4 linked regions of the Alligator mississippiensis genome follow. The protein of the gene in region 2 purifies or fractionates together with the protein of the main gene of each other region. This does not show direct contact. Links are inferred from orthologs where the notes say so. Each region holds a gene or a part of one and is shown on either strand. Other genes may lie near its edges.

What was found.
Region 1: the proteins of SAP30 (region 2) and SUDS3 purify together in Homo sapiens (affinity purification with mass spectrometry; 4 studies listed by BioGRID and IntAct, with this or other methods). This does not show direct contact. The link is inferred for Alligator mississippiensis from reciprocal best matches to the Homo sapiens genes SAP30 and SUDS3.
Region 3: the proteins of SAP30 (region 2) and ING2 purify together in Homo sapiens (affinity purification with mass spectrometry; 3 studies listed by BioGRID and IntAct, counting the BioPlex papers as one, with this or other methods). This does not show direct contact. The link is inferred for Alligator mississippiensis from reciprocal best matches to the Homo sapiens genes SAP30 and ING2.
Region 4: the proteins of SAP30 (region 2) and SIN3B purify together in Homo sapiens (affinity purification with mass spectrometry; 4 studies listed by BioGRID and IntAct, with this or other methods). This does not show direct contact. The link is inferred for Alligator mississippiensis from reciprocal best matches to the Homo sapiens genes SAP30 and SIN3B.

What each region holds. Positions count from the first base shown.
Region 1 is NC_081833.1:22,485,847-22,493,312, forward strand, and holds the start of SUDS3 (sin3 histone deacetylase corepressor complex component SDS3), read right to left. Parts: upstream 3,166-7,466; 5' UTR 3,077-3,165; coding exon 2,911-3,076; intron 1,023-2,910; coding exon 953-1,022; intron 1-952.
Region 2 is NC_081825.1:80,263,740-80,271,382, forward strand, and holds the start of SAP30 (histone deacetylase complex subunit SAP30), read right to left. Parts: upstream 3,330-7,643; 5' UTR 3,243-3,329; coding exon 2,835-3,242; intron 2,065-2,834; coding exon 1,942-2,064; intron 377-1,941; coding exon 278-376; intron 1-277. UniProt on the Homo sapiens protein: Involved in the functional recruitment of the Sin3-histone deacetylase complex (HDAC) to a specific subset of N-CoR corepressor complexes. Capable of transcription repression by N-CoR.
Region 3 is NC_081825.1:71,860,672-71,868,844, forward strand, and holds the start of ING2 (inhibitor of growth protein 2), read right to left. Parts: upstream 3,244-8,173; coding exon 3,178-3,243; coding exon of another isoform or gene 3,176-3,177; intron 3,175-3,175; coding exon of another isoform or gene 3,170-3,174; intron 2,448-3,169; coding exon 2,441-2,447; intron 1-2,440. UniProt on the Homo sapiens protein: Seems to be involved in p53/TP53 activation and p53/TP53-dependent apoptotic pathways, probably by enhancing acetylation of p53/TP53. Component of a mSin3A-like corepressor complex, which is probably involved in deacetylation of nucleosomal histones.
Region 4 is NC_081839.1:448,600-456,745, reverse strand, and holds the start of SIN3B (paired amphipathic helix protein Sin3b), read right to left. Parts: upstream 3,286-8,146; 5' UTR 3,271-3,285; coding exon 3,169-3,270; intron 3,073-3,168; coding exon 2,966-3,072; intron 1,999-2,965; coding exon 1,845-1,998; intron 1,001-1,844; exon of another isoform or gene 926-1,000; coding exon of another isoform or gene 905-925; intron 1-904. Other genes in the region: NWD1 (NACHT domain- and WD repeat-containing protein 1), read right to left, coding at 4,660-4,949, 6,621-6,729, 7,474-8,027.

The sequences.
Region 1 (7,466 bases), on a different chromosome or scaffold from region 2:
ACACGAAGATTGAGACACCCCCAAGGCTAAGAGGGCATAAGTCTGTTGTATTGTTCTTGATGTCTGTAGATCAGGGGTGGGCAAAATGTGGCTTGCAGGCCAGGTGTGGCCCGCCAGGCCATTCTACCTGGTCCACAGAGCTTCTAAAAAATTTAGAAAATTTATATTTATCTGCCCCGGCTGCCTGTCATGCAGCCCTCAATGCCTTGCCAAAACTCAATAAGTGACCCTCTGCCTGAAATAACTGCCCGCCCCTGCTGTAGATCAACACACACTGGAGTAAAAAATATACAGAAAACATAAGCCAGACTATTGATTTGTACCAGGAGCAACCATTTGGGTTTATCATAGAACTAAAGGGGTAGTGAAGGTTTTATATGAGAAGAGTAAGTTTCTGAATTGAATCAGGAGATCCTTTAATCACTCCAAATTGATTTGGAGAGATTCGGACATAGACACAGCTTTAAATCTTTTTTCTACATACTTCAAGGTACCAGGAGGCTCATGAAGGCTGAGATGGTGAGGCGGATGGAGCGTCCCACAGGAGCCGGGGGGGGGGGGGGGGGCGGGGGGGGGGGGGGGGGGCGCACGCTGTGTGCTTGGCGGTAGACCTGGAAGTGGACCAGAAGTGCTTCTAGTCCACTTCTGGGTCCGCCGCCAAGCACACAGGGGGCCCATTCATGTCCAGAGCAGAGATGAATGACTCCAGTGAAGTCACATCTATCCAGGAGGACAGTAGCAAACACTTAAGTTGTTTGAACACTGATGCAACAGCTAAGTAGTTTGTGCTTGTAGACAGAGGGAACCTTTAATAAGTCCAATATAACTAAACAGCCCTGTTATGTTAGGAACTATCCAGACAGAAATAACCTGCCCCTGGCTTTTTTAGCAAGTTAAAAAACTTAAAGAAAGATGCCATTAAACTTTGTTTTGGTGGGGGAGGAATACTTACTGTTCTTTCATTTCTACATAATCCTCTTCATCGTGTTTTGCCAGGTCAGTTTCACTAGCATCCTCAGTATCTGAATCAAATGTAGAATAATTTGATATCACTAAAAACACAGCATCAAATCATTTTAAAGAAACAGGTCATTTTTGTCTAGTTGCATTTATTTCTAATTAAGCTAGGGCAGCCTAAACGGTGAATTCTGACACAATCATCTTCAGACCATCACAAGCTGCTATCCGTGTTTTCCACACATAGCTGTCCTGTTTGCTAAAACAAGCATTTATAATAAAGCTTAATAGTATAGAAAATTAAATCAGCTGACACAAAACATCTTGTCCCTTTGTTTCTTGAATAAATCTAGCTAATTATAGTAAATTAGAAAATCCTCATGCCATCCATGAAAGCTAGGCATAGCATAAGGGATGTGTTGTAGACTTTCTTACATTTTTATCCCTGCCATATTCTCTTTGCTAGAGCAAACCCCAGCTCCTTTACAAGTCTCAAAACCCCTCCACACTTTCCCTGAAACCCAGAACAAAAAAAGAATAGAACTAAATTCTGTTACGTTTTACAACAGAGACAAGACTTCCAGGAAGGGTGCTAAGTAATGCTACTGGGATTTATTCAGCTTAGTATTTACAAGCATACACCTCACAGAAGTCCTTCAGAATCTACATGTAACAGAGGCGAGTACTAATGCTTAGTGCCATCTCACACAATCTCTCTGACATTGTAACCTGTCACTGTACTACTTTACTATGTTCCCTCACTTCACTCCTCTGTTCCTCCCCTTACCCCAGGGGTGGGAAAACTGCGGTCCATGGGGCAGATGTGGCCAGCCAGGCCATTCTATCCAGCCCGCAGGGCCCCTAAAAAAATTTAGAAAATGAATATTTATCTGGCCCTGGCTACCTATCATGAGGCCCTCAATGGCTTGCCAAAACTCAGTAAGTGGCCCTCTGCCCAAAATAATTGCCCGTCCCTGCCTTACACTCTTCTCACTACCTATGGACTTTCCTCCGTTACTACCACCCCTCTCTCCACTGAAAACCAGCCCAAACTCCACCCCCCTCATCCCTCCTGTTTCTCCTGTGACTGTTTTACACCAATTTCCCCCCCACCCTCTTGTGGAAATAACATAATGATTCTCAACCTGGCTGTTGCAGGGATGCTGTGAAGTCCTTTCACGGCTGCCATGAGTTATGTGCAACATTACCACCCAGGTGCGCAAACCCCTGCCCACCATTCATAAAATAAACCCAGAGATGTGAAACAGAAATCCACAGCATCAAACCCATTTGGCCTGGCTGCTGTCCCAGTTCTTTGCAATGGGGGAACTACTGGGTTATTTTACTGGAGCCAAAAAGCAGGGTTCCTCAAGTCTGATAGGGGGCAGGAGAGTTTGAGTCTAGAGCAGCAGTTTTCAACCTTTTTTGTACCAGGACCCATTTGTAAACATCGATGGCCAGTCCCGACCCAGTGCCCCTCACCCCCAACCTGCTGCCCTTGCCCCCAGAGTGAAGGGCAGCAGTGTGTGTGTGAGACATGGGGGGACGGCAAAGGAAATGCTGCGGTTCCCCACATTTTTTTCCTTTAAAGAAAAATCCATTTGTAGAGTTTGTTCTCAACCCTCCCCTATATTCTTGCGCCCTGCTTTTGGGTCAAAACCTGTGGGCTGAGAAACCCTGATCTTGAGGTTAAGACCCAAAGCAGTGACCCTCCCGGCTCCTCCTGCCCCACCAGGTCCCAAGTGGGGATGAAGTGTGTCAGCTCACAAAAGCTTGTGCTTTTAGACATGCGCATGCAAGGCTGTAGGAACACACGCGTGTGTACGTGACACACACACGTGTATGGGCATTACACGTACATCCATTACACTACACACACCCGCCCCCGCCTAGCGAGGAAGGTGCGAGTCTCCCCCAGCCCCCCCCAGGCTCCCGGGCGCGGGCCCCGCCCACCCTCGTCGGAGTCCCGGGCGCGGGCGCTGCGCTCGCCGTCCTCCTCGTCGGCGCTCTCCAGCTCCTCCTCCTCGTAGTACTCGGGGCCGGGCGGCAGGGCAGCGGGGAGCGTCCCGGGCGGCACGGGGGCCGGCGGCGCGGCAGACACCAGCCCGGCCGCGCTCATCGCGACGGGAGGCGGCCGCAAGCCGCTTCACCCGCTCCCTCCTCCCGCCGCCTCAGCCGGGCGAGGCCCTCCGCGAGCCACTTCCGGGACGCGCGGGCTGCCTCCGCTCTGCCTGACCCGGAAACTCGCGCAGGCGAATGCGCGGGACACCTCAAACCAGCCGGGCCGCGTGGGGGCCAGCACGGAGTCATCAGGACCCCCCGGGGGCCGGAGCCTGGTGCTAGTGGTAGCGCCTGCGCAGTGCTGTAGCTACTTGGGTTGTTCCAAGTGGAGTCTAGGGCTGCTCTCGCGGCCCTCTCCTAGAACGAAGTGGGCTGTGCTGAACCCCCACCCGGGTGGGACGTGGACTTGCCTGATAGCGGAGGCAGGCCCCGCCCCCCGTCGGGGTCCGGGTTCGCGGTGGCTGCCCGCTGCTGCGTTCGCCCGGGCGGGCAGTGCCCTCGGGCCGCGGAGCCACTGACCTCATAAGGTCCCTAGAAGCCAGGCAGGTGCCGGCTGCACCCGCGCGGCTCGCCCCGGGCCGGTCCCGTCCCCTTCGTGCGGAGCGCCCCGCTGGTTGCCGGCAGAGGGTGCTTAGGAGCTGCTCGCGGTCCCCTCTTTGCCTCCTGCAGGCCCGGCGGCTCCTGCAGAGCTGCCCGGCTCCGGCTCATCCCCAGCGCGCCTTGTCGCGGGCTTCCAGGGCATCCCGCCTGGCCCGGCCCGGCCCAGCCCAGCGCCGGGTGTTTTCCGCCCGGGGTCTCCATTCCAGGAGGGTGCTGGGCTCTGCAGCGCCGCGTTACCCTGACCTGACCCGGGGCCCCAGGGGACCAGGATTCACATGTGTGCAGGTGCGCGACAGCCATGTCACGTCCCAGCCAGCCCTCACGATGATCTGTTCGTCATCAGGTGCCCGGGGGCAGGATGTTGAAGTGTTGAGGACTGAAGCGCAACGGCACCTCTGCTCTTCTTATTCCTTTCGAAGGACTCGCTTTTTCCTTTTCCCGTGTCCCCAACAAGCTGTCGCTGATAGCTGTGGTATCACATCCCCCAACTGAGGTAACTGCTTCACACCCATGGATAACAGCTTCTGTGCCAGGAGTGGGTTTATTCCCTCCAAAGCAATAAGCGCCTTTCAGAGATGAGATCCTTTTCAATCTTGTAATGTTCAAATGCTCTCACCAGGCTGTGTCCCTGGAGCCATACAGATAAACTCTTTGTCTTGCACGTTGCTAATTACAGGCTTGGAGAGGCTATTCAAGGCCTTCAACCTGAGCACAAGAATGCTAAAATCTGGATTTATGGTGAAGTGTCTGTGGGCACATCTACACGTTTATTAATGCACTGTAATTACATTAAGTTTAGTACCTGTTATGACACGTACTAAATGCATCATAATTGTTGCTACTGTGCATTAGTGCAGATGAACGTTTTTCTGATGCTACTGTGCATTAGACTAAATCTACTGTGCATTAACATAGGCTTTGCTTGCCGTGCTAATGCACAGTAGCTTCAGTCTTCTGAACATGAAACACCTCACGTAGACACACCCTGTGTTAGCTCTTTTATGGGAAGACAAGCCATCTAAGGTGTACTGATCAACTGGTTGATATTGGTTTATAACTAGCGGAGTTGTGACTAAGCATTTACCTTAACATTTGCAGGGTATGTTCCCCAGAATCATGAGATGTTGACTCACTGAGGCATATGTCCTATGTACTGTAACCCTGTCATCAGGAAAAAGGAAATAATATTTAAAAAGTGCTATCAAAGAATGATCACCAAAGCAATGCAGTGTGAAACTAATAAAACTAGGCCTTGACAAGCTGTGAGAGGTGCTAGTGTACTCATTGTTATTAAAAGGGTGAAAATGTTTAAGTGCTTAGCTCTTCTATTTTGCATTTTGGCCAAAGATCTGTTATGGAGATTAACGTTTTTAGCCTTGCAACATCCTTGTTAAGTATTTATTACATCTTTTTTTACATATGTAAACATTACTCACCTTTTACAGATGATGGGATTGAAGCTGAAATCCAACAGTTTTCAAGAGAGGTCACTAAAGTTGAGAGGTGAACTAGTCACAGGTGAGGCTGAATCCAGGACTGTCTCCAGTGGCATGTTTGCCTTAAGCCCCTCTTGAAGCAGAATAACTTTTCCAAATTATGCTGTTTTTATGTTACTTTCAAAGGCCAGGTATATTTACTGATATGACATCACATGTGATAGGAACTGAAAGGGGATGGTGATAATCAGTGAGAGACTAGGTATAATTGTTGATTCAGAAATGTTTAAATTATTCTGTGGTCAACACTAGAATCCCATGTGCTGCATTGCTCTCATCTCAGCACACTTCACTCCCCATGTTCAGTGCTAAACTTATGCGGAAACCTCATGCTGTCATCTTTCAGGCATTCAGTTGAAACCCAAGAGGAGGCTTATCTTTAAGGAATGTGCCGTTTCCCCCTCAATAGTGACTACTTGACTGTTCACATCTCAGCATTCAGAGAGAATTTGTGCCCCTTATTCATAGAGTCAAAGTCTCCACCAAAGGTCCTTTTGTTGTATCTGCATATCCATTCCTTTGAGGAAAGCTGCTTTGCCTGTATCAGCTATTACCATTCATGGAGTAGCTGTGATACCAAACTTGGGCTCACAGCATGTAAAAGAATCAATATGTTGATATTGAAAAAAAAAACCTGTCAATAAAACTTTAGGTTAGTTTGGAAAGTGAAGTCTGTTCATGGGAATGAGATGGTTGTGACCAGAACATTTGTAACATAGCATACTGTGAAAAATTATGGTCAGGGGCTAACACCAGAGGTGGTTTTGAGCTGTGAGCGACCGAGGACATTTTTTGCAGGGGGGGAAGACAAGAAAAGAACAATGAGCACTGCAGCCCTCGCCCCGCTGGTGAGGATTGCGGAAGACTCCTTGTATTGTAAGAATCCCCCATCCTCTTATTGCCCTTGCTATTCCAATAGCTAATTTCTTGTTGTATCGTCTACTTGGAAAGCTCTTCCTGTCCCTTTGAGCCTTTTCTTCCTTAAAACACCACTCTGTAAGCAAATTCTCCCCTTTATATTGTTAGCAATCCCTTTCCCCTTGTCCGGTTTTGTTGCTTCTCCTGGTTAAGTCTTATCCATACTGAAACGCACAGGTTAATCCAGTTGAAAATAGACCTAGCTATGCATGTGCAAGAGTGACTCGTTTAAAGAGTAAATGCTTCTTTCATCTAGACTGGACAAGCCTCAAATTCACTTTTTGGGTTGAATGGGCAAGAAACCCGTAAGTCCCCCCACCCTTTCCCCAGCACGTTGAACCCAAGGCCGGGCGAGAGGCGCCTGCTCCGATCCAGGCCCCCATGGATCGTTGCCCCCCATTCAAACTCCCGCCTTTTCCCACAAGGGGTTAACCCCCCGGCCGCCCGCGCCTTTCAGGGCTTCCAATCGAGCACCGATCGTCCCGAGCGCTCTCTGGGACCGAGCTGTGTGGAGGAGCTAATCGATCGCCATGGCCCAGAGAGCACAGACTTCTAAATCAACCACCGATGCAAAGATCCCCTTCCCCCAACATCGGCCCCGCTGATGCGGGCAGTGACGGCGGCCCAGTCGGCTCCACCCTCCCCGCGCAGGCAAACGCAGACCGCCCCCCCCCGGTCGCGGGGGGGAGCAGGCTGGCGAGTCGAGGGCCGAGCCCCGATTAGCTCGGCTCGCCCGAGCTCCCAGACGCGGGAGTCGAGCGCCGATGCAGCCGAACGATCGGCCGCGCCTGGCAGCAGCCGCAGGCGCACGTCGGGCAGCGGCGGGTCCGAGGCAGGAAGCGGGGGGCGGTGAGCGCGGACCGGACCGGACCGGCCCGACCCGCCCGCCCGCTGCGGCCTCTCGGGCCCGGGCCAGGTGAGAGCGCGGCGCGGGCAGCTGGGACTGACCCGACCCGACCCGACCCGACCCGACCCGGCGAGCAACAGGCGGGTCCCGCGGGCTGCAGCGTGTCGGGGCAGCGGGGTGCGGCGGGGCCGGGCCGGGCCGGGCCGGCACGACACGAGTGGCGCGGGCGGCAGCCGCGGTTGGGAGCACAGGGTGGGGAGCCGCGAGCAGGGCAGCAGGGAGCGGAAAGTCGAGCAGCACCTGGGGTGGCGGGGCGGGCAGCAGAAAGCGGAGCGGCAGCCAGGGCGCGGGCGGGGAGCAGAAAGCGGGGGAGCAGGCAGGACGCGGGGCGGGGAGCAGAGCAGCACATCTGGCAGAGAAAGGGGTTGACAGTGTCCGCAGATGGTGCAGGGCTTATCTTGTGGCGCGCCTGTCACAGGCAGGCCCACGCTGCTTGGGTGGGACAGGATTCAGCGACATAGTTCACGCTCAACTGAAGAGGAGGAGAAATGGACGAGCATAAACCAGGGATGCAGGAAGGCTTCCAC
Region 2 (7,643 bases):
GAACGCTTTCTTTTTGTTGTCAAAAAAATCCAGTCCACTTGTTATCTTTATGTTAGAGAAAAAGCTTTTAGAACAGGATCTAATCCAATTATAATTCAGTAGTTGACTGAATTTTGTAAGCTTACATCTGTCAGTTACAGAGGCTGTTATGTTAATCTGTACGGATATTCTCTACAAAGGTAAGGATGTATTACTTGTCCTATGGTTCACCTTTTCCAGAGATTCACATATTATAGCAAGTTGCATTGCCTGCTACAGAACAGATGTTCATACTTACTTCAACAAGCTGTGCTTTGTTGAGTCCTGGTCTAGTCTGTAACTTGAAGTGTCTTTTGTACCTTCGAAGCGTGTTTACTTGCAACTGATATAAGTCAACCTAGGAAAAAAGAAACAATGGCATTAAATCATCATTAAATATGGCAACTGAAATGAAGGCAGAAGACATGCAGTATGTACTGTCCTTCTGTTCCAAGCAGCCTTTAGTATTCCGCCCAAAATAACATTCTGAACTGCCCTCTGAAACAGACTTGGAGGTGAAATTAGTAGATCACTGGCACAGAACTTTTTCTTCCTGGAAACGGTAGAGATTGCATTGGGCACTCATTTCTTTTCCATCAGTGAAGTCATGAGTCTCTCTGGTGCAGTGCCCAGATTGGGGGTGGGGGGTGGCAAGGAGAGAGGAATAAAAACACCTTTGGGTTTTCTGGCACCGTCTAAACTGACAACTGTAGCTTTTAGAATGTGGGTCTGAACTAAGCCTCCTTTGCAGGAGCGGATGCGTTAAGCAGTACATTTGTCACTATTATTTTTTTTGTCCTTCACAAGAGTCGGCAGCAGATATCAGCTGTGGCAAGAACTGCTGATCCCATAAAACTTGAAAAAGAGAACTGGCTTGTTCAGGAACTGTGGTCCGCACGGTGCCAAAATTGCAGCCCTGGGATTCAAGAGGGTAACTGCAAAGATAATTGTGGGGAAGACTACAAAAAACAGTCTCTAGGAACTGAGATAAGACCTTACAGGACTCAGAATATTCCAGGACCTCAGACATCTTCACCAGAGGCTTAAAAAAAAAAAGTGTTTTCCTTCCTGTCAACCCAGAATTCTTTAGCAGAGTGCTGGCAGTGAAAAGGCCTTATGGACAAATGCATTACCGGGGAACTTGAAGGAACAAGTTCTGCAGCCAAATCTTAAAAATGCTATTTGAGATCTTTGATACCTCGAACAGGCAACCTACCCTCCAGCTTAGTGCACTTATCCAGGGCATATAAAAAAAAAAAAAAAGGGTATTTCATACCATCTGAAATGGGAAACAAAAAGGTGCATATACGTTTTAAACACCACTTTTGTATATGGGATGTGCCAGATCAAAGCAACCACTTCCCCAAAAACTGGAATGTAATAGTGGCACTACAGTACATACTTTTACATTTAAGATTTAACTCTACTATGCTTTTATGTATGACACATATCTATTCTAAGTGTTTTTTTAACAGAATGGAGCAACTTCTGACTGTTCTGTAGCCATCCTGGCAGGACGGGGGAAAAGCCAAGGGACAGTTAAAAGGTGATAAAACATTTTATACACCGAAAGTATAAATGCTGGGCTCATGGTTCAGTAACTGCCTGACTCCTGCTGAAAAATGGTTCTGCTACTATGTGGCTAAGCACGTAACTCCAATACTAGGGATCTGGGGAGAAAGGTAAAATATTTCAGAATCAAAACTGATTTACGATTTAGGTTAGGCTTTATTTCCAGGAGAAGTATGATGAATAAAATGGAGAAAACAAATATTCCTTATGTAAGCATCTTAGAATATATCATTCTAACATACACAATGAATACAGAAGCATAGCCATAAGAAATGTTATATTTTTGTGACTAAAGCATGACAATTAAGAATCAGTTTTACATGGCAACCACATAAATAACTAGGCAGGTACCTCTGGAGTGTCAATGTCTTGCACTGGCGAGTCACCATCATCATCACTGCCTTTTCTCTTTCTTCTGTTTCTCACGCTCTGAATTAAGTTTTTGTGAAAGTCACAAATATAAAGATGCCTTGCCTAAAATAAAATGAGAAAAAGCCATGTTTTCCACGATTATTTTGCCAGGGTTTGGACACGTGCGGTCACACACAGCAGCGGCAGAGCCATCGCCATGTCTCGTGGCCTGAACTCGGGGCGGAGGAGATCTGCTGGTCCCGGCCAGACCCCCCCCCCCCCCTCCTTTCCCCCTCCGCGCTGCAGCAACGAGCCGACTCCAGGGAGCAGCCGAGCCCAGCCCCCTCCCGCCATCAGCAGGAAAATGACTTCTCCGTCGTCATCTTTTTAAAAGCCGCCGATGTCTCCCCCTGGTCCTCGCCGCCCTCCCCGAGCCCCTGCCGGCGAAGCAGGCACTCTCCGCCGGGCCCGGGGGGTTTAACAAGCCGCGCTCAGGCCCGCAGCGGCGCGGATCGGCTGCAGTTTCACTTTCAGCGACTCCGGGACCGCAGCCTCCCCCCTCCTCCCCCCCGGGCTCTTCCAACGCGAAGTTTCCGCAGCTGAAACCTCCCGGCACCCCCCGCAGCAGCAGCAGTCACAGCAACAGCCCCCTTTGTGCCGCTCGGGAGGGGGCTCCCCGCGCTCCCCACCGCGGGGCTTTGTCTGGGGCCGGCGCGGCTCTACCCCATGGCGGCCGGGCGGCCCCCGCGGGGACAGGGCAAGCAGCTCCCCTGCGGCAGGCGGGCGCGCCAAGGGCAAGGACGCGGCGCCCGGGCCGGGGGCAGTGGCGGTGCCTGCGCCGCAGCCCCCCCGCCGCCGCCTCCCCCCCCGACCCCGGGCCCGCGGGCACTCACGCTCTTGTCCAGCTCGATCTTCACCTTCTTCTGCGAGATGCTCTTCTGGATGCGCTTGCTGAAGCTGGCGTTGCCGGCGGCCCGGCCGCAGCGCTCGCCCTCCTCGCGCAGGCAGCACAGCTGCCCGGCTCCGGGCCCCGCCGCGCCCGCCGGGCCCGCAGCGGCGGCGGCGGCAGCAGCAGCGGCAACCGCGGCGGCGTTAGCGCCCGCGACGGCCCCGGCCCCGGCTGCGGCCCCGAGAGGCGGCGGCGGCGGCGGCACTGGAGGCGGTGGCGGCGGCACCTCCACAGCGGAGCCCGCGCTGGCCCCGGCGGCGGCGGCGGCGGCGGCAGCAGCAGCAGCAGCGGCGGCGGCGGCTGCGGGGTCCCCCCCGCGCGGAGCCGCGTCCTCAGGCGCGAAGCCGTTCATGACCGCGCCGCCAGCGGCTGCGTCCTGCCCCTCAGTTCAGCCCCGCGGCGTCGCGCACGCCCCGCGCCCCTCTGTCATGTGCGGACTTTTCAGCTGTTTCCTCTGTAACAACAGCAACCCACCCGCCCTAGCGCGCATGCGCAACCCGCCGCCTACCGGGACCTGTAGTTGGCGCCGCGGCGCCCGCTCCGCCCGCGGGGAGGCCTGGGAAACTACCGCTCCCGGCGTGCCCCACGCGCGCTCCGCCGCCATTTTGCGGAGCGCGGCAAGGAACAAGACGGGGAGGGGTGGGGTTATTTTGGAGGTTGCGCTTGCCTCCCCACCCCCACCCCCTGCTCGCTGCAGAAGGGAGAGGGGACGCGGGCTTCTGGTCCCGTTCGCAACGCGCATGTGCGGGGAGTTCTGTGTTGCGGTGTTTGTCGTACAAAGGCTCGGAGCAGCCGTTAGGATTTGAAATGTGGCCGTTCGGAGGCCGCGGACCTGCGGCAGTTCCCCCCAGAGAGCGCCCGGGCCCTTCCCTTCCCTTCCCTCCCTCCTCCCGCTGCAGCGCTGCCCCAGCGGCCTCACCTGGGCCGGTAGGCCGGGCCTGGGGAAAAGGCGGGAGTGCTGGGCTAGTCTGACTGAGCACTGGCGAGCTGCTGTCTGCCCGAGAAGCTGGCAGCCTGGCGCTCCGTGACGGCCTTTCGCCCTGGGTCTTTTTTCAGCGTTTCCCCTGGCAGAGGACAGCGTCAGTTGGAGTAACTGGGCTCGCTCCCACCGCCCCGCTGCGGGGAGCTCCTGCCCCAGACAGTTCCCCCCGCCATACTTCCACACACACACACACACGATGAGTAAATCTGACCGACCATTTTTTTTCATGTGCTTGCTGTGAGGGAAAAGGCTAAGTGGGCTGAGTTCTAGCCTGTAGTTCATACTGGGAATATCTGGGGGGGAGGGGGTCATTGTGAGAAGGCTTTGTTATAAAGAAATCTTGTAAATAACCTCATAAGCAACCCACCTATATGTCCTTTTCACCCCAGTGGGGAGATAGCAGTCTAGACCTGGCAGCAGGGCCCAGAGACTGCTCCCTGATTGGTTCCTCGTGACTTTATTTTTCATTGTACTGGCTGAGTGGTGTGCCCAGGTAACCAGTTCTGTAACTTCTATTGAAGTGTGGCTGACTGGGCCTCAGGAGAAAGCGTGAGGCTCTGATAAAGCTCGATGGAGAAAGTCCCAGGGAAGACAGATTAGTGAGAAAAAGAAGAGTCTCAGGGAGGATGGAACAGAGTCAAAGGAAGAACAGGGGGAACTGGTGTGGCACAATAGAGACTGGCTGTTTCAGAGCAGAGATTGCTGTGCTGTTGGGACACATCATTCTGCTACCCCTCCTCTTTAAAAGAGCACTCCCACTTCCACCCCCCCCCCCCTTCATGGGAGCTGATGAAAAGGAAGGAGCTGTTGGAGGTGTGGGTGCTATTGATCACTGAGGAAGCGGGAGACTGAGAAGATCCAGGGTCTCCAAGTCAGAGGCTCTCCCCTGCTAGGGGCTGGCTTCTAGGGGTCCTCTCAAGACAGGGAGACCAAATAAGGCTGCTTCTTGGAGAGTTGCAAGGCAGAGCTCCCCCCTCCAACAAAAGGGCATTGATCTTATGACACCTGCAAAGCACATTTGCACTGGCGTTGGAGTGTTTTGTTTGTCAAATAACTTATTTGACAAACAAAATACTCCAACCTCCCTGCCCCTTTTGGTCAGCTATTCCTTTCAAGTTAAGACAGCGGGAAAGGCCATAGGCCAAAGAAAATGGTTTAATTTAATTGAAAACATTTCAATGTATGAATTATGGCCTATTCGAAGTTATAGAATCAAAATAGGGAGTGTGACAAAACCCAATAATTTAAGGAGATACGGGCTCAGTGCATTGCGCACTCAGGGGTTACAACGGTTTCAATTTCTACTTCTTAACCTGATTTTATAACCCAGTCTTACAGAGTATGGGTACAATCCCACATCAAACTTGCATCTGTGTTGTGATTCAGAGGGTCAGATTCAAACAAAAACTGAGGCATGTAAATCCAAAAGTGCAATCCACCTGCTTAACTGTTGTTTGAGACTGTGATGGTCCACAGTCTCAAGCTTTTGCTTGGTAGGCAGGTGCCTACGGTTTTGTTACTTCACATGCCCAGAGATGTACCAATACAAAGGATGTACAGAGGCTGAGCCAATATCACCAACGCCTATCACACATTTCAATCCACTTGAGACTCAAGGGTTCATTTCAAGAGGCCTACTCTGAGTACACTTACCCATAAATCACACCAAAAGCATTAAGTTCAGCACAAAGCAGAAGACACTTTCATGGTCCCAGAGGAACAGACTTGCACCTTCAGCTTCCTCTGTGCAAAAATGAAGTTTATTTTCTACCTATGGGGACTTTTTATCATCTTTTATTTTTCCTGAGCCTGAGGAAGGGCGTGTGTGCCAGAAAGCTTGCAGAAAAAGAGATTTTTTTAATGATTTCTTAGTTGGTCTAATAAAAGGTATCACCTCTGAACCAAGAGTTCTAGAGTTTTGCATTTCTAAGTCACAATCGCTTTCATTCAAAACCATAGCTGATGGTGGCGCCGCCTATCTTTTGCATAGACAAATGATTAGAACACAGCAATCAATCACTACTACACATTGCTATTAGATAGCATAGGAGCAAGAGATAGCCTTACCTTTAGCCAACTTAGAATGGATGCAGCAGCAAAAGTTAACCCAGGCTGTCTTTACACTGATAGTTTTAGCTCTGATTTGTTCAGTAGTTCAGGGATTCCCCCAGTTTAGCGGCTGCTGCTTTTTATAGGCAGGTAACCCTTTACCCTGGTTAAACATTTCATCTGTCTGTGCCGAGTCACATTCCTTCTTTCTTACTCTCTTGGGCCCTATGAATCCTGCATTCTTGGCTTCCAAGATAGTGTATTCAACACTGGATGACAGAGTCATGTGCTATCTTTTCATGGCCGTATGATGTTGCATTCCTTTTTATGCAACAGTCCTGCTTTAGCAGCAGGGGCAGAAGATTAGAGCACTCTCCTGGAGGTGAGAAAGATACCAGTAGATTTGAAACTCCTCAGGCTGTAAAGCAGTATAACTAGGTCTACCACTTCCTGGGTGCATGCTTAAACCACTAGGTATAATACAAAGGGTGGATTGTCATCATTGCCAGCTGTGTAAGAGTGATGAAAAAGTAAGCCAGTTACCTGCATCCAAAGGAAGAAATCAGTTGATAAGTGCATGAAGGCACTTTGCAGGAGAAGATTGATTCCAGAGATGTCCCCCTGTTCCACATTTCCTAATGGCTACCTTAGGTGTCCTCCCTGCTTGGCATACCAGCTGTTGTGAGTTGCAGTTATCTAAACTCTTCTCATCCCTTGTATAGGAACACAGGTATCCTAAAAGATATGTAAATTCTACACTTGGATCTGACTGCCTAAATGGCATGGCCATACCAAAATGATGCTGTGCCCAGTTCCCTTAGTAAGTGAATTTATATTAGGCATAAAGATATAGATGCCAGTTGCACAGAAGGGATATAACTAGGGACCTACTTAATCTGTGGTTTTGTGGAGTTTGCAGAAACAATGAAATCTGGGATAATCTACAAAATCAACATTAAAAAAATCTTAATAAAAATAAAATGCTGGCTCCCTCTGGGAGCCATTGGTTCCTGCTGCCTGAAGGGGAAAGTGCCAGCTGGTATGGTGGCAGGATAGGATGGTGGCTGCCCTCTTGTTCCTCCTCCCCACCCCGGGGCCTCTCTGCCAATCAGCACCAAGGGGCGGGGCCACCACACAATGCCCACAAAATCAGCTCTGTATGCTGCAAACAGGTTGTGAAAAACCCTTCCTCTCACTGCAACTTAAGTAGGTCCCTAGATATAACCCCAGGGCTCCAGAATCTACACTGGTTCCCAAGAGCTTTCTGGGTACAACTCATGGTACTAGTTTGATGGATAAAGCTCTAATCATTCTGGGCCCGATGTACCTTATGACTGTCTTATGCCCTATCACCAGGGATCCTGGTTTTCTCTGATTTAAAAAAAATCCCCAATTTTCAGATTAAAAAAAGTATTCCCAAATTCACATTTTCTCGTGATTAAAATGAAACACCACACACACACACATATATATACACATGTATATATAAGTGACTTTTTAAATCCGAAAATTAGGGATTTTTTTTAAAATCAGAGAAAAGCAGGATCCCTACCCATCACAATCCAAAAGGTCAGCTAAGATTAACCTTCTGTAAGCCTCTGACAAAGACATTGAATTACAGGCTCATATACTTACCTATATAAAGAAACAATCAGTATAAAAAAAATAACGTTTGAAGTCAAGCGTTATTAGGTCATGCATTGCTTTAAAGCCTTGATCTTG
Region 3 (8,173 bases), about 8.4 Mb from region 2:
ATCCGATATCCAATACACTACCTGCAGCAGGTAAGTCTGGTGTGGTAGGAGAAAGGGGGTGGGGGCAAATCAAGGCCCTGCCATGAAGGAGGGAGGGAGGCAGGGGCATGCACTGCCCAGTCAGGGAGGGCAGGCTGGCAATGAGACTAAGCTGCAGCTCATCTGTGTGGGTGTGGGATGGAGCAGAACTCATCCATGGGGTGCAGGGGGAGGGTAAGGTGGCTCCTGCCACTGCTGCTGTCACTCATCCAGGAGGGCATGGGGGTGGGAGGTGGAAGACAAAGAGCGTGTGCCCCCGGATCTGCACTGGACAAGGCAGGCTGGGGCCAGGGCTGTTCCCCATGGGGCCTGAGCTGCCTGGGAGGGGTGGGTAGTGATGCTGCTGGGAACAGGGGGCTATGAGGGAAACGGCAAATTTTGGGGTGGCTGCAGCTCCCCCTGTAGCCCCCTTCCAGCAGCACCACCCCCTGCCCCACCCAGCCCAGGCTCCACTGGGAATTGCCCCAGCCCCAGTTCGCCTCATGCAGATCTGGGTCCTGTTGCCAGCAGAGCCTGGGCCACACGGGGTGGGGGGCAACGCCACTGGGAGGGGGCTAGAGGAAGCTGCAACCACCCCAAAATTCACCATAGCCCTCTCACAGCTCCCCACTCCCAGCGGCACTGCCACCTACCCCACCCAGCCCAGGCTTTGATGGGCACAGCCCCAGCCCGCTCCGCCCCATGCACATCCGGGGACACCTGGCCCCCTCCCCCCCACCGTGACAAGTGACAGCAGCAGCAGTGGGAGCCAGAGGATGAGCTGCATGCAGCAGCAGGAGTCACCTCCGCCTGCCCTGCACCCCACAGACAAGCCCTGCTCCATCCCACGCCCCCTAGACAAGCTGAGGCTTCATCCTCTGCCCACCTGCCCAGACAGGGCAACACTTGCCCCTGCTCCAGCCTCCCTCTCCCTATCCCACCCCCAGATTTATCAGCTGGAAGTAGCTCTCCACACTGTGGGCTGTCTCTTCACTGCATACAGGCTGCATGCAGCATGGGCATTTATTAGCCCAATTATCAGCCACTTAAGGCATATATCCAATATAGATTTTTTTTTTTTATATCTGTACTGATCCGATGTTGGATTGATACATTGGTGTATCACTATTATTGGCTGAAAGATGGAAGAGAGAAAGAAGTAACAGCTGTCACTTCTAGACTTAACTAGAAAGGATGGGCTTTAGAGCTAAATAGCTTAAAAGATTGTTTTTTAAATCCAGGTCTAATTTGCAATCCAGAACAAGTGAAAAAATTTAAGTGCAGTGTTGTACTACAGACTGCTTTAGCACAAACACAATGGTTACTCTGGTTTAAGTAAAGAGGGAATCCAACTTGTTATAGCAAATCAATCATTTAAAGCAGGGATGTCACATGGAAGGCCTGGGGAACTGCTCCATCTGGACTGACAGGCCACTGGAAGTTGAGGGAGTGGCCAGGGCAGTGGCCTGCCAGAGAATCTGGGCCCTTGGACCACAGTGACCACTGGGCAGTTGGCAGCAGGAGAGCGAGCCAGCAAGAGCTGATACAGCCCTGGTCCCCCTCCGGCTGCTTTGCCCATCACCACTACTGCCACCCCACTCCCATGCTACGCTGGAGTTGCTGCTATATACCCTGTACGGAACCAGAGCTGCCAGTACCACCCAGTGCACACAGCAGTGGCTCCAGTTGGGGTATATTGACAGGAGCCAGAGCTGCTTCCACCACTGCATGCCATGTGCCTGCAAGGAGCCCTGTGGGTCAAATCCAGCCCAGGTGAGTTTAGAGGGCGCTCATATTTTGTAGTAAAAATGGCCTGAACATAACAGCAGTTATTCAGCTGATTACATACAGCCTTCTGGACATCTGAACAAGTACTATGTTAAGTCAATACCTCATCAAATACACAGTGCAGCACAATTACAGCTGTCATGGTAATGATGAATCCCACCTGCATCTTCAGGTGTGCTGACACTGACATTATTCCTACTTCATACAAAGCAAAGGAACAGCTTTTGGAAAGGGAAAAGTGTTCACATGAGTTTTTCATTCGGAGAGCCCGGCCTGGATGCATCTGGCCATTCAGCAGCACATCAGCCAGGTTGCAGGGAGACCGCACACCCTAGGAAGCTCGGGGGAAGAGGGGTATAAGGAGAAATCACTACCAACATCCTTTAGGGAGAGGAGAACCACTGAAAAGGTTTTGTTCCTTCTCCATTCAGATTTAGGAGTGAACTTAAAAGCAAGATGAGAAATGGGCCACAGGTATTAGGATGGTTGGGCCAGGGATGTTCCTGCCTGGAGCAAGGGACTGGACTAGCCCTTCCAAGGTCCCTCCCAACCTGACTTTCCTCCGATCCCATTCCCCTCTGCTACCGACTTGCAGCACATACACGCACAGGAGCTGCCGTTGGCTGGGTCAGACCACGAGTCTGTCTGGCCCCGTGTCATACAGCGGCAGAGAGGGGAGGCTGAAAGGGAGAGCAAGCTGGGTCCGACTGGGGTTTCCCCCTTGCTCCTCTCCTACTTGCAACCTTCAAGGTCGAGCGAAGAAGCTCCAATGCTGAGGCCAAGCCCCTCACCTGCGGGCTCCACAGACACCCACACCCCTTTCCTCCTAGGATTCGCCTCAGCCCTACTCTGGCCTGGTGGGACATCAGCTCCAGAGCTCCAGGGCCCACGCCCAAGCCAGCTGCTATGGGAAAAGCGCTGCCTTTGGTTAATCTGAAGCTCCTGACCCCGGGCCAGCTGGCTCACCTAGCAGGGACAGACGGCTGAGGGGGCCATCGCATCCCTGCCCGGCTGGGCACAGGGGTGAACCTGGGCAGCTGCCCCGACGCAGAGATGTTTCAGGAGAGACAGGCGGGGGGGGGGATTAGGGCAGCACCTCAGCAACGGGCTTCAGGCAGGCGCCTCGGGACTGAGGCAACAGCGGGGGGGAGGGGGGGCCGGCAAAGGGGGGTGGGCACTGGCACGGGGGGGGGGGGGGGGTCTGGCACCGCCCCCCCACGCGCTGCCCCTAACGTGCGCGTGGCGTGGGGGCCGCCCCGCCCCCGACCGTGGGCGCATGCGCGGCGGCTCCGTTTCCACCCCCCCTTCCTGGGGTCTCGCGTGGGGGAGGGGTGTCCCGCGGGCCGGGCCGCGCCAGGCTCACCTCGGCACTGCGTGTCCATCTCGCGCAGCAGGGACACGTTGCGTTGGATGTCGAGCGGCAGCGACTCCACGCATTCCAGGTAGTCCTGCACGTAGAGCGCCAGCAGCCGGCTCCGGTCGCCGCCGCCCGCCGCTGGGCCCGCTGCCAGCTGTGGCCCACCCAGCATCATGGCCGCGCGCCCCGGCCGGCTCCGGCTCCGGCCCCGGCCCGCGCGGCCTCCGCCACCGCCGCTGCCGAAGCAAACCCCCTCCGAGCCCCCGCCCCGGTCGGTGAAGCTTTGCGCATGCGCGGGGGCCTGCCCTTATAAGGCGCGGCTAAGTGGCACGGCGAGGGGTTCGCATTCTCCCGCCTTCGCCCCCGGGCCTCTCCCATTGGCTGGTGGGCCGGGCACGAGGCCGGAAGTGGCGAAGAGGCGGAGCACTCTTAAAGGAGCTGGAGCGCGATCGTTCACCTCGGGTTTGTCCTTCCGGAGAGGAAGGGATGTAGTGGTGTTATGCTGACGCTACGAAGCTCCCCAGGGCTGTGGAGCATGGGGGGAAGAGCGTGAGCCTGATGGCGGGGCGGGGGATCCGCAGCTCTGAGCTCCTGGGGGTCGCGGCTCTCATCGCTTCATGGGCCGCCCGTAAAGTGTAGGCTGCCAGCCCGTGACGTAGGTGCTCTAAACGTAACGCACGTCGTGCTGTTGTCTTCCCTGAGGGTGACGTCTGTACAGCTGAGGCAGCATCTTGCATCCTTGTCTGACTCCCACCCATGTGCAGTGGGTCCAATAAAAACTACCCCCCCCCCCACACACACACACACACACGTGCGCGCGCGCGGGAGAGCTGGACACAAAGCAGCTACAAAGTTACTGCACGTTTGCTAGCCGTCACTTGAGAGTTGGTTTTGAGGCAGGATAGTGAATTTCTCGGTGCAGCTGACACAGATGAATTGCACGATTAACCAGGCAGTCGGGCAGGGCATGTAAGGTGTAGAGGGAGCCTAAGAAAGCCTCACCTCGTGGAAGGGGGAGGGCACGATAAGGGGTTTACAAAATGCTAAATGGCGAAGAGAGGCAATAGGGATTGATTATGGACACTCACAAGGCAAGAACTGGGGGTCACCACACTAAACTTGTAGGCAGGAAGTTGAGAAGTAACACAAGGAAGCTCTTTGTCCCACGGTGTCTTGTTCAGTTACTGGATTTGTTGCGGAAAGCTGTCGGTTTAGATTCATAGATGTTAGGGTCGGAAGGGACCTCAATAGATCATCGAGTCCGACCCCCTGCATAGGCAGGAAAGAGTGCTGGGTCTAGATGACCCCAGCTAGATGCTCATCTAACCTCCTCCTGAAGACCCCCAGGGTAGGGGAGAGCACCACCTCCCTTGGGAGCCCGTTCCAGACCTTGGCCACTCGAACTGTGAAGAAGTTCTTCCTAATGTCCAGTCTAAATCAGCTAGCTTGTGGCCATTGTTTCTTGTAACCCCCGGGGGCGCCTTGGTGAATAAATACTCACCCATTCCCTTCTGTGCCCCCGTGATGAACTTATAGGCAGCCACAAGGTCGCCTCTCAACCTTCTCTTGCGGAGGCTGAAGAGGTCCAGGTGCCCCAGTCTCTCCTCATAGGGCTTGGCCTGCAAGCCCTTAACCATACGAGTGGCCCTTCTCTGGACCCTCTCCAGGTTATCCTCATCCCTCTTGAAGTGCGGTGCCCAGAATTGCACGCGGTATTCCAACTGCGGTCTGACCAGCGCCCGATAGAGGGGAAGTATCACCTCTTTGGATCTATTCGTCATGCATCTGCTGATGCATGATAAAGTGCCATTGGCTTTTCTGATGGTTTCGTCACACTGCTGACTCATGTTCATCTTGGAGTCCACTAGGACTCCAAGATCCCTTTCCCGTTAGCCAGGTTTGAAAAGGGATAGGCCAGGTTCTTGGAAGAAAGGGGCATGGGTAGCTGTTGAGCATGGGAGTTAGGGGCACAGTAGGGTGACTCATCTTTTCCAAATCCAAAAGCAGGACACATGCCCTCTTGCTGCCCCCTGGACGAGCTGCCCATGGCTCCATCCCACTCCGTGGCCAAGACCTGACTCAGCCCTGGGCCCCTTACACTGCCTCAGCATCAGTCATCTTATAATCACATTCCTGCCTCAGTCCTGTGCCCCTTACACTGCCTCCCAGCCCTAGCTGCCAACCCTGCCCCACTCCCTCCCTCACCATGTGGGTGTCAATCTGTCCCCTCCCAGGTTCCCTATGTTCCCTTCCCCTCCATAGACTTACCTATAGCCATCTGGGGGAGCTGCTCCACGCTGCCTGGCTGTATTGCTGGGCATGTGATGCCCCTGCATCTGTGGCAATGCGTAGGAGGTGCCTGGGGTGCACATGCACCCCCTGAGAGCACTGGTGCACTCCCTGACAGCCAGCATTCCCTGCTTAAGCAACTGGTAGGGGGGCAAGCAAGAGGTCTGTGAAGTGGGGGTGCCAGGAGAAGCAATCCCTGTGGTCCCCATGTGACCGATCGCGCTGACCTTCCCCTGCGGCTGATCGTGCCAACGTGGAAATGCCAGCTACCTTCCCCACCCCACCCCCCCCCAGGTTGGTGCAATTGGCCGTGGCGTCCCCCCCCCCCCCCGGGCCCCCCACATTCACTGGTGCCTTCCCTGACTCAGGAGACACCAGTCGCCCATGCCCTGCCTCCTGCTTCCATTAGCCCCAAGCAGCTCCTTCCATGTTGGAACTCTGCCAGCCTGAAAAGGGAATTTAGCAGTTTCCTACGGTTTTGTCTGTTTAAGAAGAAAATCCGTGTTTTTCAGCAGCGAACAGAAAACCTGGATCCCTGCACATGATACTGGGCCGATGGTTTGACTGTGTCGAGGGGAATCCAGGACAAATGCTGTCCCAGAGACAGAGTCATTCAGCTTGGGGCAGGACTTGATGTTTACATTTCAGGACTGTCCCACCCAATTAGGGATGGGTGAGATCACCCTCGGACACAGCCTCTGAATTAGAACTTCCTAGGCCTTAAATGCAGGAGGCTGCAAGTGAGATGGAAATAGTGGAAAAGAAAAATCCTGGTCATACCCAGTTCCCTCTCCCTTTCAGCATTCGCTCTCTGCAACTATGTGACACAGGAGACTGGGCAAAATGGATCTATGATTTGACCCAACAAATGGCAATTCTGTGTTCATTTCTGCAGTATCAGGGCTACAACATCACTCTTACACTACCATTCTCTTCTCTTGCATACACCTACAGAAAGAGGCCCATCGAGGACCCAGAAGGTTTGATGTAAAAAATATTTATGTCAACTTCCCTTTTACACTTGAAGACAACCAGTCCTGTCCCTTTGCTCTGCCATGCTGAAGGTCCCACCTTCCTGGTACTCCTGAGGAGATCATTCTCTAAGGCTGAAACCTAATTTCTGGAAGTGCTGCTTTCCAAATGCATTGTATCCAAGCAATTTTGTTTTATTTTTATTTTAATGCATATACAGATGATAAACAGGCATCTGGGTTTTCTATTTCCCATGGAAAATGTAAACAAATGTGGATTTTCCCTTTGAACTGAGAATAATGCAGATTTCTCATTTTAACAGAGAAATGTGGAGTTCCAGCCTGCAAGGGTCTGGGAGAGCGGGAGGAGGGCAGTCAGGAAGGGGATATATGCACATTGCCTCGAGGCAGCCTGGGGAACAGCTCCTGCAGGTAAGTCTGGCGGGGTGGGAGCAGGTATTGAGGGAGGGAGTTGAGCAGGGCTGGGGCTGTTGCCCAGCCAGGCAGCGTGTGGAGCTTGGGGCCCGGGGCCAGAATGTGCGGCTGCAGGGCCCCGGCAGGGAGCAGAATGGGGCCACAGAGAGCTCATCCAGGGGTAGGGGGGGCTGGCTCCCCAATGCTGAGTGCACTCCCAGCGGGGGCAGGCAGACATGTGCCCTGTAGATCTGTGTGCAGGGTGGGGGTGAGGGCAGGCTGCTTGCTGTGAGCTCGGGGCTCCCTGCCCTGTTGCCCTCCCCCCAGGGCCTCCATGGCCCTGGCTGGACCCAGCGCAGCAGGGCAGAGTGGGGCCTGGCTGGGAAGCTCCTTGACGCTGCAAGCCCTTTTAAAAACTTGTATATATAGCAATAAATCATTGTGTCCAGTTGATAGCTATATATATCTTTTAATTGCCAATTTGGGGGTTTTATCAGAGAATTTGCTATTTTTAAACAGAGAAAACCAAGATCTTTGGTAATAAATTATATTTGCAAGTGGTTTATACATTGACCACAAAACACTGCCATCCGTTATGCTGGTTTTATGGTTTTATATATATATATATGTAAATGATGAGCAATATTCAGGTTGGGGAGACGTTATATCAGTAGAATAGTTATAGGTTACACTCAGGAAACAGTAAGTCTCCATCATGCTAAAGTATGCTCTGAAGTCACACTTTTCTTGCAATGGCAATTGAAATGGTGAGATGCCTCAGTAATTTATATCTTTTGAGTTGTGAGTAGCTCTATCTTAGGCCATTGTAGCCCACGGTAAGAGTTATCCTACTCATCCTTCAAGAAGAGCAATGTAATGATTCATGGAAAACTGTTATTTAAGGAAGCTCAGTGACATTTTATCCCCCAAGAGTAATTTCAGTGAATTTTAAATAAAGCGTCAAAGAAATTTAGTCTTTTAAAAGTCCACTTGCAAGCCAACAATCTCTAGTTTTGATAGAGCACCCTGTCTCCCCAAGGTCTGATGCAGAACTTGTATCTGACACTGATAATAAGAAACATAGGCTTGTACATCTTAGTAGCGAAAGACTTGAGAGAATTATATTAAGCTATTTCAGTTTCCAAAAGGCTTGGATTTCATCCATAAATCCCTTTACAGCCATTTACTTGTGATTTCTGCTACACTAGTAATATTTTCAAGTGTCAGAAAAAAATCTCATTGATTCCTGGAACAAAGGCAAGAAGACCTATGCTGTTTGTTCTATGTTGTATTTTATATATTGAATTCATGTACATAAACTATTAAAACCAATAAA
Region 4 (8,146 bases), on a different chromosome or scaffold from region 2:
TTATTGTAACTGCCCCTATAAAATAAAAGTCAAGCAGTCTCAGCGCTGAGAACATCTTTGCAACCTTTCACTAACGAACTCTAGAGAAGTAGCGTCAAAGGGTTTGTAGACGTGCAGCTGCACCATGGGGCCAGCATGGAGGAAATCCTACGTGCAGTTGTTCAGATTCCTTAGGAAAACAGCCTTTTTGAATTATGCCAGTGACAGCTGAACTTTATGCTTGTAGCTTACAGATGAGATTCAGAGGACAAAGTTATAGCTCACAGCCCTCAAGCTTAGTGGAATCCGAATGCATTGAATCTGACCATGCTCTCTGCCCTACATCTCTTGAATATGGCAATGCTTGAAAACGGCTTATGCAATTAGTAACTGAGTGTGAAAAGCAACTCCTCTCAAGCCAGTGCTGCCACGGCCTTTCTTAAGTGCCTCCAGGTACACGAGCAACACAGTTCTTTTGTCCCAGGCCAACCACGACTGTATGAACTGGTTCTGGAGCAAGTGTCCATCAGTAGCTAATGCAAGGAGGAAGGTTGAGGGATTCTAGCAGAAGAGTCTTTGTGATACTGGACCTTTTGAGAACTGGGGGAATGAAAGCGAGGAATCTCACTAACTCCCAGGGAAGAATACACTAAATATGAGAGCTCTCTCTGAATCAGGGGTTCACAGCAGGGGGCCTGTAGGCCTTGTAGATCATCTCTGAAAGTATTTTACCCAGCAGCGAGTTTCAAGTGTCAACAAGACCTTGTATTACCACAACACATGGTGACTTCATTTCAGTATCCAGTTATGAAGCCAGGTCTCCTGTTAGTCACTCAACATCAAGGCATTTGATGCACAATAATGCCATACTTCATCACCAGATTCATATTCTCTGCTCTGTGTCCTTTTATCAAAGGGTGGATACCTTCTCAGGTCCAGTTTTCATCAACAATTCTTCCACCAGAGCAGCCTCATTTTCAAGGGATTTTCAAATGCTGTACCTGGACCCACTGGCCATGATCTTGACAAAGGAATACAGAGTAATCAAAATCCAATGACCAAAGGTCCGTGAGAAACCTGATTCACTAATGCTTGTGATTGGCACTACATTACCCTATCCTCTTCACTTTAGAGATGGTTTGAATTCACCCTGCAGTATAGTTAGAGTAAAACTACTTTGTTCCAGAAGAATGACAGATTATCAAGATGCATGCTCAGTAGTCAAAATGCTAAATTTCTAAGTAATACAAAACAATCAATGCACGTAAGAGATCTGAAAGAGTAGTAGATGGTGGAAATTAAGGTTTATACAAGAAGCTTCTGAACAGAATTTTAGCTGAGACTTTTCAGTTACAAACTCAACAACCGCACAGTGATGAAGGAAGCAGAGAATGGCATGCATCTATTTGTGTTTTAATACCACATCCTTCAGTGCAGTATATGAGCATCTGAATAAAACGCGGCTATTTGTATCACGCCAGTAAACGTCTTGTGCCATAATGGGAAGGAGGAAATAAGATCTTTTGAAATATTCCTTTAAAACGTAAAGTGTGATTACAAAGACTGAATGGAGCATGTATACATGTGCACCCAGCCACCATCTCAAATCTGACTCAAATGTCTGGGCTGCAGCATGTGTGGGAGCTTTATTCCAATCAAACTAAGAAGCATTTCTGGAAAAGAAAAACTTTTTTGTAACCTCAAAACTGTTTTTTATAACCCCATACCCTCAAAATTTGAAAACCTTTAACTAACTGCAATAAAGGCAAACCAGCTCATTTACTATGCAGACCCTGCGTGCTACTTTATCTATATGCGCACATACATTTGTGTTCACGTAAAGTAATCCAAGCATGTTAACATACCTGACTAGCCAGCGGCGACTGTATACTCAACTTCCCGTTCTTTGGAATCTCTATTCTGTAGCCCAAAGGGAGGAAAGCGTTGAATCCTACAATGAGGTCGGGATGTTCGTGAAACAGCTGGGAAACGCGCCTGATTACGCCAGGGGTGTCAATGCTAGAACCAAGACGAAACCGTTAACTGCATGCAGGGTCTTTGTCACAAAATGCAACCACAAAGGAATTCATACGCAGGTACAGATGCATCAGATTGCAAAAATAACTTTGTTTAACAGCACAGGGATTTGAAAGACTTAAGCACTGAGACAGTGCTCACTCCCTGCAGGTATCTGTGAAGCGCCTACATTTCTCATGGCTCCCTCTACAAGATGTCAAACGCAGCAGGGGGAAGTACTGCTCGCTGAGCTCCGGGTACGTAGCGAAGATACCTCCTCCCCGCAGGCTTACGCAGCGACCGCGCAACGTCAGCATTTTGGTACGCTAGAGCCAGGTGTGCAGGCGTCAGCAAGAGCCCTGCCTTTCCCCTGAAACAGGCATCTGTGCAGGTCTGCGGGTCCCAGGGCCGAACGGTACCAGGCCGCGACCGCACGCCCCGCTGGAAGGTCCGTCCCCCGGAGGGAGCAGCGGGAGCGAAGGCCCCTCGACCTGCTCCTCCCGCGGCCCCTGCCAGAGCGCAGCGAGGCGGGACGGGGCAGGACAGGCGAGGCCAGGGGCGAATCAAGCTGGTCGCAGTCAGCGCCAGCTGTCGGGCAGCCGCGGGGCAGAGGGAGCCGCAGCCCGACCCCGCTGCGGGGAGGACCAGGGGAGACGGCTCGGGAGCAGAACAAGCTCCCGGGAGCGGGTCAGGACCCCGGACGCCAGCGCCCAGCCCAGCCCAGCCCAGCGGCGGCGGTGCAGGGAAAGGGGCTGCCCTCAGACCGGACAACACGCCCGCCTCGGAGCCAGCCCTGCCTGGAGCTGCCCGGGCCACGCGCCGCCGCGCTAGGACGGCACGGGGCCAAGCGGGTCCCAGCCCAGCAGCGCAGCGCAGCGCAGCGCGGGTGCCGGGACGCGCCGCCTCCGGGCTCGGGCTCGGGCTCGGGCCTGCGCCGGCTCGGGGCCGGGGCCGGGGCCGGGGCCGGTACCTCTGGCTCTTGAACTCCTTCATGATCTCGAGGAAGCCGTTGTAGGTGGCCGGGTCGCTGCCGAAGCGGATCTTCACCTGGTCCAGGTAGGAGAGCGCGTCCTCCACCTGCGGGGAGACGGGCGGGGCGGGGTGAGGCGGGGCGGGGCGGGTGGGCCGGCGCGGGGCGGGGCGGGCCGGGGCGGGCCGGGCGCGGGCACTCACGTGAACCGGCAGCTTCTCCTGGGCCCCGGCGCGGCCGCCGCCCCAGCGCGGGGCGCTGCCCCCCCGGCCGCCGCCGCCGCCGCCGCCGCCCCCCGCCGCCATGTTGGGAACTCGGGCACCGGGCGGCGGCCCCGTCAGCGCGTCCTCGGCGCCTGCGTCACCGCGCACGCCCCGCCCCGGCCCCGCCCACTTCCGGCCGCGCTGCCGGCTTCCGGCGCCGCTATCGCGCGGGGCGGCACTAGCGCGCGTCAGGGGGCGGCGGCGGCGGCTCTTCCAGCTCCAGGCCGGGCCGTTTCCGCCCGAGGCGCCGCGAAATCTGAGGTAAGGGGTGCAGGGCCGCGCTCTGCCCGGTGGGGCGGGACCGGCTCGGCTCGGGCAGCCCCCGCGTCGCCCAGGCCGCCGGCGAACACCTGACACGTTTTATTCACAACAAAGCAGAAGCCGCATCCGTGCCTCCGGCGTGGCCGGGCCGGACCGCGGGGCGAGCCCGGCTGGCCGTGGTGCGCCGGGCGCGGGAGGGCTCGCGGGGCCCACGGGGCTGCCCGCAGCAGGCACGGGCTTCCCGGCGAAGTGCGGAGCGCCTCTTGCGTGGGCGGCCGGCCGCGGTGCCGAGCTCCCGCACGCGCCTGTCGAGCGGCCGGTCGGTCGTAGCCGCGCGGCAGATATCGCCGCCGCCGCCGCCCGGGCACAGCGCAAGCAGCCCGCTGGAGTCGAGACTCTCGTATGAAGTTTATTAGTAAAGCTATCCTGAAAGTTGTGTGGGGGAGGGGGCACCGCCTCCGAACTACATCGCCATAAAACTTGTTCCTTTACTTTTAGGAGGAACTAATAATATCCCAACAAACAACCGATTAGTGCAAAGACCTTCCCTGCGGCAGCCCGCCGGACACACGACCCTTGTAATCACAGTCTCAGAAATCTGCGGCTGCTCTCTCTCTGTGCGCAGGCAGCGAGGGCTCGTGGGCCGGTAGCTTGCTCCTGCCGCGATGGGCGTGCGAACTGCGGGCTCTGCAGCCCTTGTACACACAGACCAGGCGTGCGCAGCTCCTAGCGCAGGCCGGGCGGGGGGTGGTGGCAGCTCACAACAGCAGGGGTTCGTGTGTACTCATGGCGCGTGTTAACGGTTCAGCAGTCGGACGGTTGACTCTGCTTCTGGTAAATGAGGCACTCGCATTAACAGCACGTTGACCCGTTAAAACCTAACGCAGCGCAGGCAGCGTCACGAGCGCAGCGCCCACGTTCCCTGTGCGTTACTTGACTGTTGCAGTGCAGCGGCACTAAGAAATCCTGAATGCTAACTGATCAAATACACTGGGAAATACTATAGTTAACTAGGTTTTCTTTGTTGCGTAGCGTAGATTTGAGCAGAGAAGAGATCTAGTAACTCCCGAATTTGACCCCAGCTCTCGGCTTCTGACTTAAGAGGCTCGGCCTGAACGCTTGATCTTGGGTCCCGAGGCTGCGTGGTCCTGATCTGCTGCTTCGCTCCTCTTACACAATTGCACAGATCTGTGAAGGCTTGCGGTTTTGACTCTGGTGTCTGGAGGTATTTCCTTGATTGTGATGCTGCACTCCTGAATTTGCCTCTTCTCCCTTCCTGGATTTGACTGTGCATGTTGCCTCCACGTGCTGGAGCGGGTCGTGCTGGTGGCTGCTGGACTGTGGGCAGTGGAACTTCTCACGAATTATATAGCCAAGATTTGTTGTTGCAACAAACCCATCAGCAGTTGGCACGATTCTTCTTGCAGTTGCATGCACACACTGCACAGCCAGCAGAGCACCTGCAGGAGATGAAAAGGAAATGATTTGCAGCATAAGACGTTACACTTGAAGGACAGGAGGCCCTGCCGTTTTCCATAAATGGCCCCGTAATTACTGGTGTTAATGTGAAGGAAGGGTGGGAAGTTTGTCATCAGCTCCTTTAGACTGTAACAAGGATCGGGGTGGATAATAGAAGCCTATAAAGGATTTTGCCATAAAACTTGCAGAGATTAACTTGTCTTAGAGGGTCATGGGCACGCTGCCCTGAAAGCACTTGCTACTGCACGGTAACCTGCAGTGAAGAAAGTGCATTACTTACGGTTCCAGTAGTGTTCTGGATACCTGTTTGACAGATCAGAAGGCAAGCCCCCTGTCACGTCAGCTTAACAAAAGGAAGTCTACTAATCCAAACTGCAGAATACACAGCTGGAGTTAAACATCTTTGTTTAAACTAGCTGCCCATCCTTTGTGAGAGGATGACAAGTACAAGCCTTATAACAAGCTAAAGCATAAAGTTCACAATTGTTATGTAACCCTGAAATAAGAGTGAGCACACAACAGTATCTAACAGAGGAAAGGCAAGGAAAATGGAAGCGTACATTTTTTTCCCTTATGCCACATATGATGTTCTTGCTCTTATGTGGGCCTAAGCTTTTAGGATGAGTCTAAATACAGAATTTTAAGGTACCTTACACATCGACCCTGACAAGCCCTCAAGCAGCTTCCCTGCTGTAGAAAGTACTACATCTATGGCAAAAACTAGACACTGATGTCACTGGCTAGTTCAGGGGTGGGCAAAATGTGGCCTGCCAGGCCATTCTATCCCACCTGTGGGGCCCCTAAAAAATGTAGAAAATGAATATTTATCTGCCCCAGACTGCCTGACATGGGGCCCTTGATGGCTTGCCAAAACTCAGTAAGTGTCCCCCTGACAGAAATAACTGCCTGCCCCTGGGCTAGTCAGTGTAATGAGGCCTTTTTGACACTGGGGATGGTACTTCTCTTTGCAGTGTCACAGAAGGTCAGGGTGTACTGGCAGGCACTTGTGGGATGTTCTCATGGATTCAAGGGAGGCAGAGGTAGGGGTCAGTGCCCATCTATATGTAGCTGCAACTTACAGAGACTTTCTCTCTCTCTCAAAAATCTATTTTTTGGCCAGGAGAGAGATCCCAAATTCCTTGTGCTAACATGTAACCAAGTTAGTTTCTCATTTAAACTGAGTGTAAATTTTGTTTTCCTTTGTACTGCAGAAAGGAGCTTACATACCTGTTTAATATATACAATAAAGCAGAAGTTGTCAAATTGTGAGGCGTACCCCCCTGGGGGGCATGGAGGTGGGGGTGCAGCACAGTGGGGCATGGGAAAGAAGCTTGCAAGGAGCCACTGCAGCTGCATGGGGGGGTGTGGGGGTGGGCAGGCTCTGCCAGGGGGTTGCTGCACCTCTGGGAGCCCAGTGCAGTGGGCGTGCAGCCTAGAGCCACAGCAGGGCCAAAGCAGGAGGTGCTAGAGCTGAGCCGAGCAGAGCCACAGCAGCTGCTAGGATGAGGGATGCCTTGTGCCTGGCTGCGCTGCTCCTCTGGGGCGAGGGGGCCGGTCAGTACAAACAGAATTGGGGGCTTAGCTCAAAAGGTTGGAAAATGATGTAGTAAGGTGTACCCTCTTGTCTTAGCTGGCGATACAGATTTACTTACCATTTGAAACATCCCAAACTGCAATGGATTGATCCAGTAATCCAGTATACAGGTATTTATCATCTTTTGAGAAGCAAGCACATTCAATACCTTTCAAGAAGGATGAATGCTAAAAATGGATAATGGGTTTGAATTAGACCCTAATGTACTGGTAAATGCACATGAAGATTAAGACGACCTAGATGGTTTGACTGTTAGGTAGTTGAGAACGGGCATACATTTTAACTTAACCAATGTTTCCAGAGTGGTTCTAAGCGAGACTGAAAGTGCAACAAGCTTGGCATTTTGCTTTTAAGCTTCTAAAGCGCTTCAAAAAAAGTGTCCTGTAAAAGCTCAGAAGGCTACCAAAAGGAGTGAGTGCAAACTGTGCAGCCTATCGGGTAAAGGCTGAGGCCTGTCAGGCACAGGTGAAAAGCTGAAAAATAGCTCAAGCTCTTCCATCACTTCCCCTTTTATGGGACTCCACAGGGCTGAGCCTGTTAGTCCTTTATGCTGCTTTTACTTGACCTCAGCTAAACAATGTGCATAACCAAGAACAGGATGCAAGCAAACAATTAAGTGAATGTGGTGGATAAGTTCTGACCAAGCATCTCTGAAGATGTGAGTTTTGGGGCTAGAAAAAATTTAACAGCACTAGGTCATCGGTGGGCTCTCTAGAAAGCATACTCTTTAACGAGGTAGCTAAACCTGGATACAAGTGTGCAGTTCAGGCCTAAGATGCCAAAAGGAGGCACCTAGCTGCTACAGTGTTTGGAAAGCCCGCTATTTGAAAATTGGACTAGTTATGTCTGTACTGGCTCATTGGAATAAATGACTAATAATGTTGTGTTCCCAAGCTCTGCTGGTGCAGTACCTTGTAGTAGCAGATCTCGTGTTTCCATTGGCAGAGCTCCAAGTCCCATAGACACAGCAGAGAATCCTCAGAGCCACTCAGTGCCCACTGTTCTCCGTGACTATTTTCTAAACAAGTGATTTTGCTTCGGTGGGCTTCCAAAGGAAATACTTGGGAACATGGACAGTCATAAAGGAATAAGTCCCCACTGGACATGCCATAGAGGACCCGACAGCCTGTAAGGACAGCCACGCTGGAAATAACAGCAGGGAGCTGCGTATAAAAGGTATAAGTGGGCTTGTCAATCACTGGGCATGGCTCTCCAGGGTTGACATCCAGCACAAGGACTAAGTTATCATATGCTACGACCAGTTGTGTTTCCTGCCTGTTGAGTGCTATGTGGTTGACTGGTTTTTGTGACTCCGGGGGTGGGATGCACACCACATCTTTCCTGGAATTCAGTGGAAAAACCAGAACTGTTCCAGATACCAGCCCAGTGAAAAGGAGTTTTTTCTGCTCAGCCACCTCCAGACTTCTCACTTGAGCAGAGGTGTCCAGTGTGTCACACTCTGCACCTGCAAGAGAAAAGATGAGTGGTGAGGCCTTTCCTTTGCTGGTTCTGCATGGATAACTTCTCTTCTACAGAGCTGAGAGTGGATTTTTCCTATAACTTCACAATAAGGGCAGCTGAGAG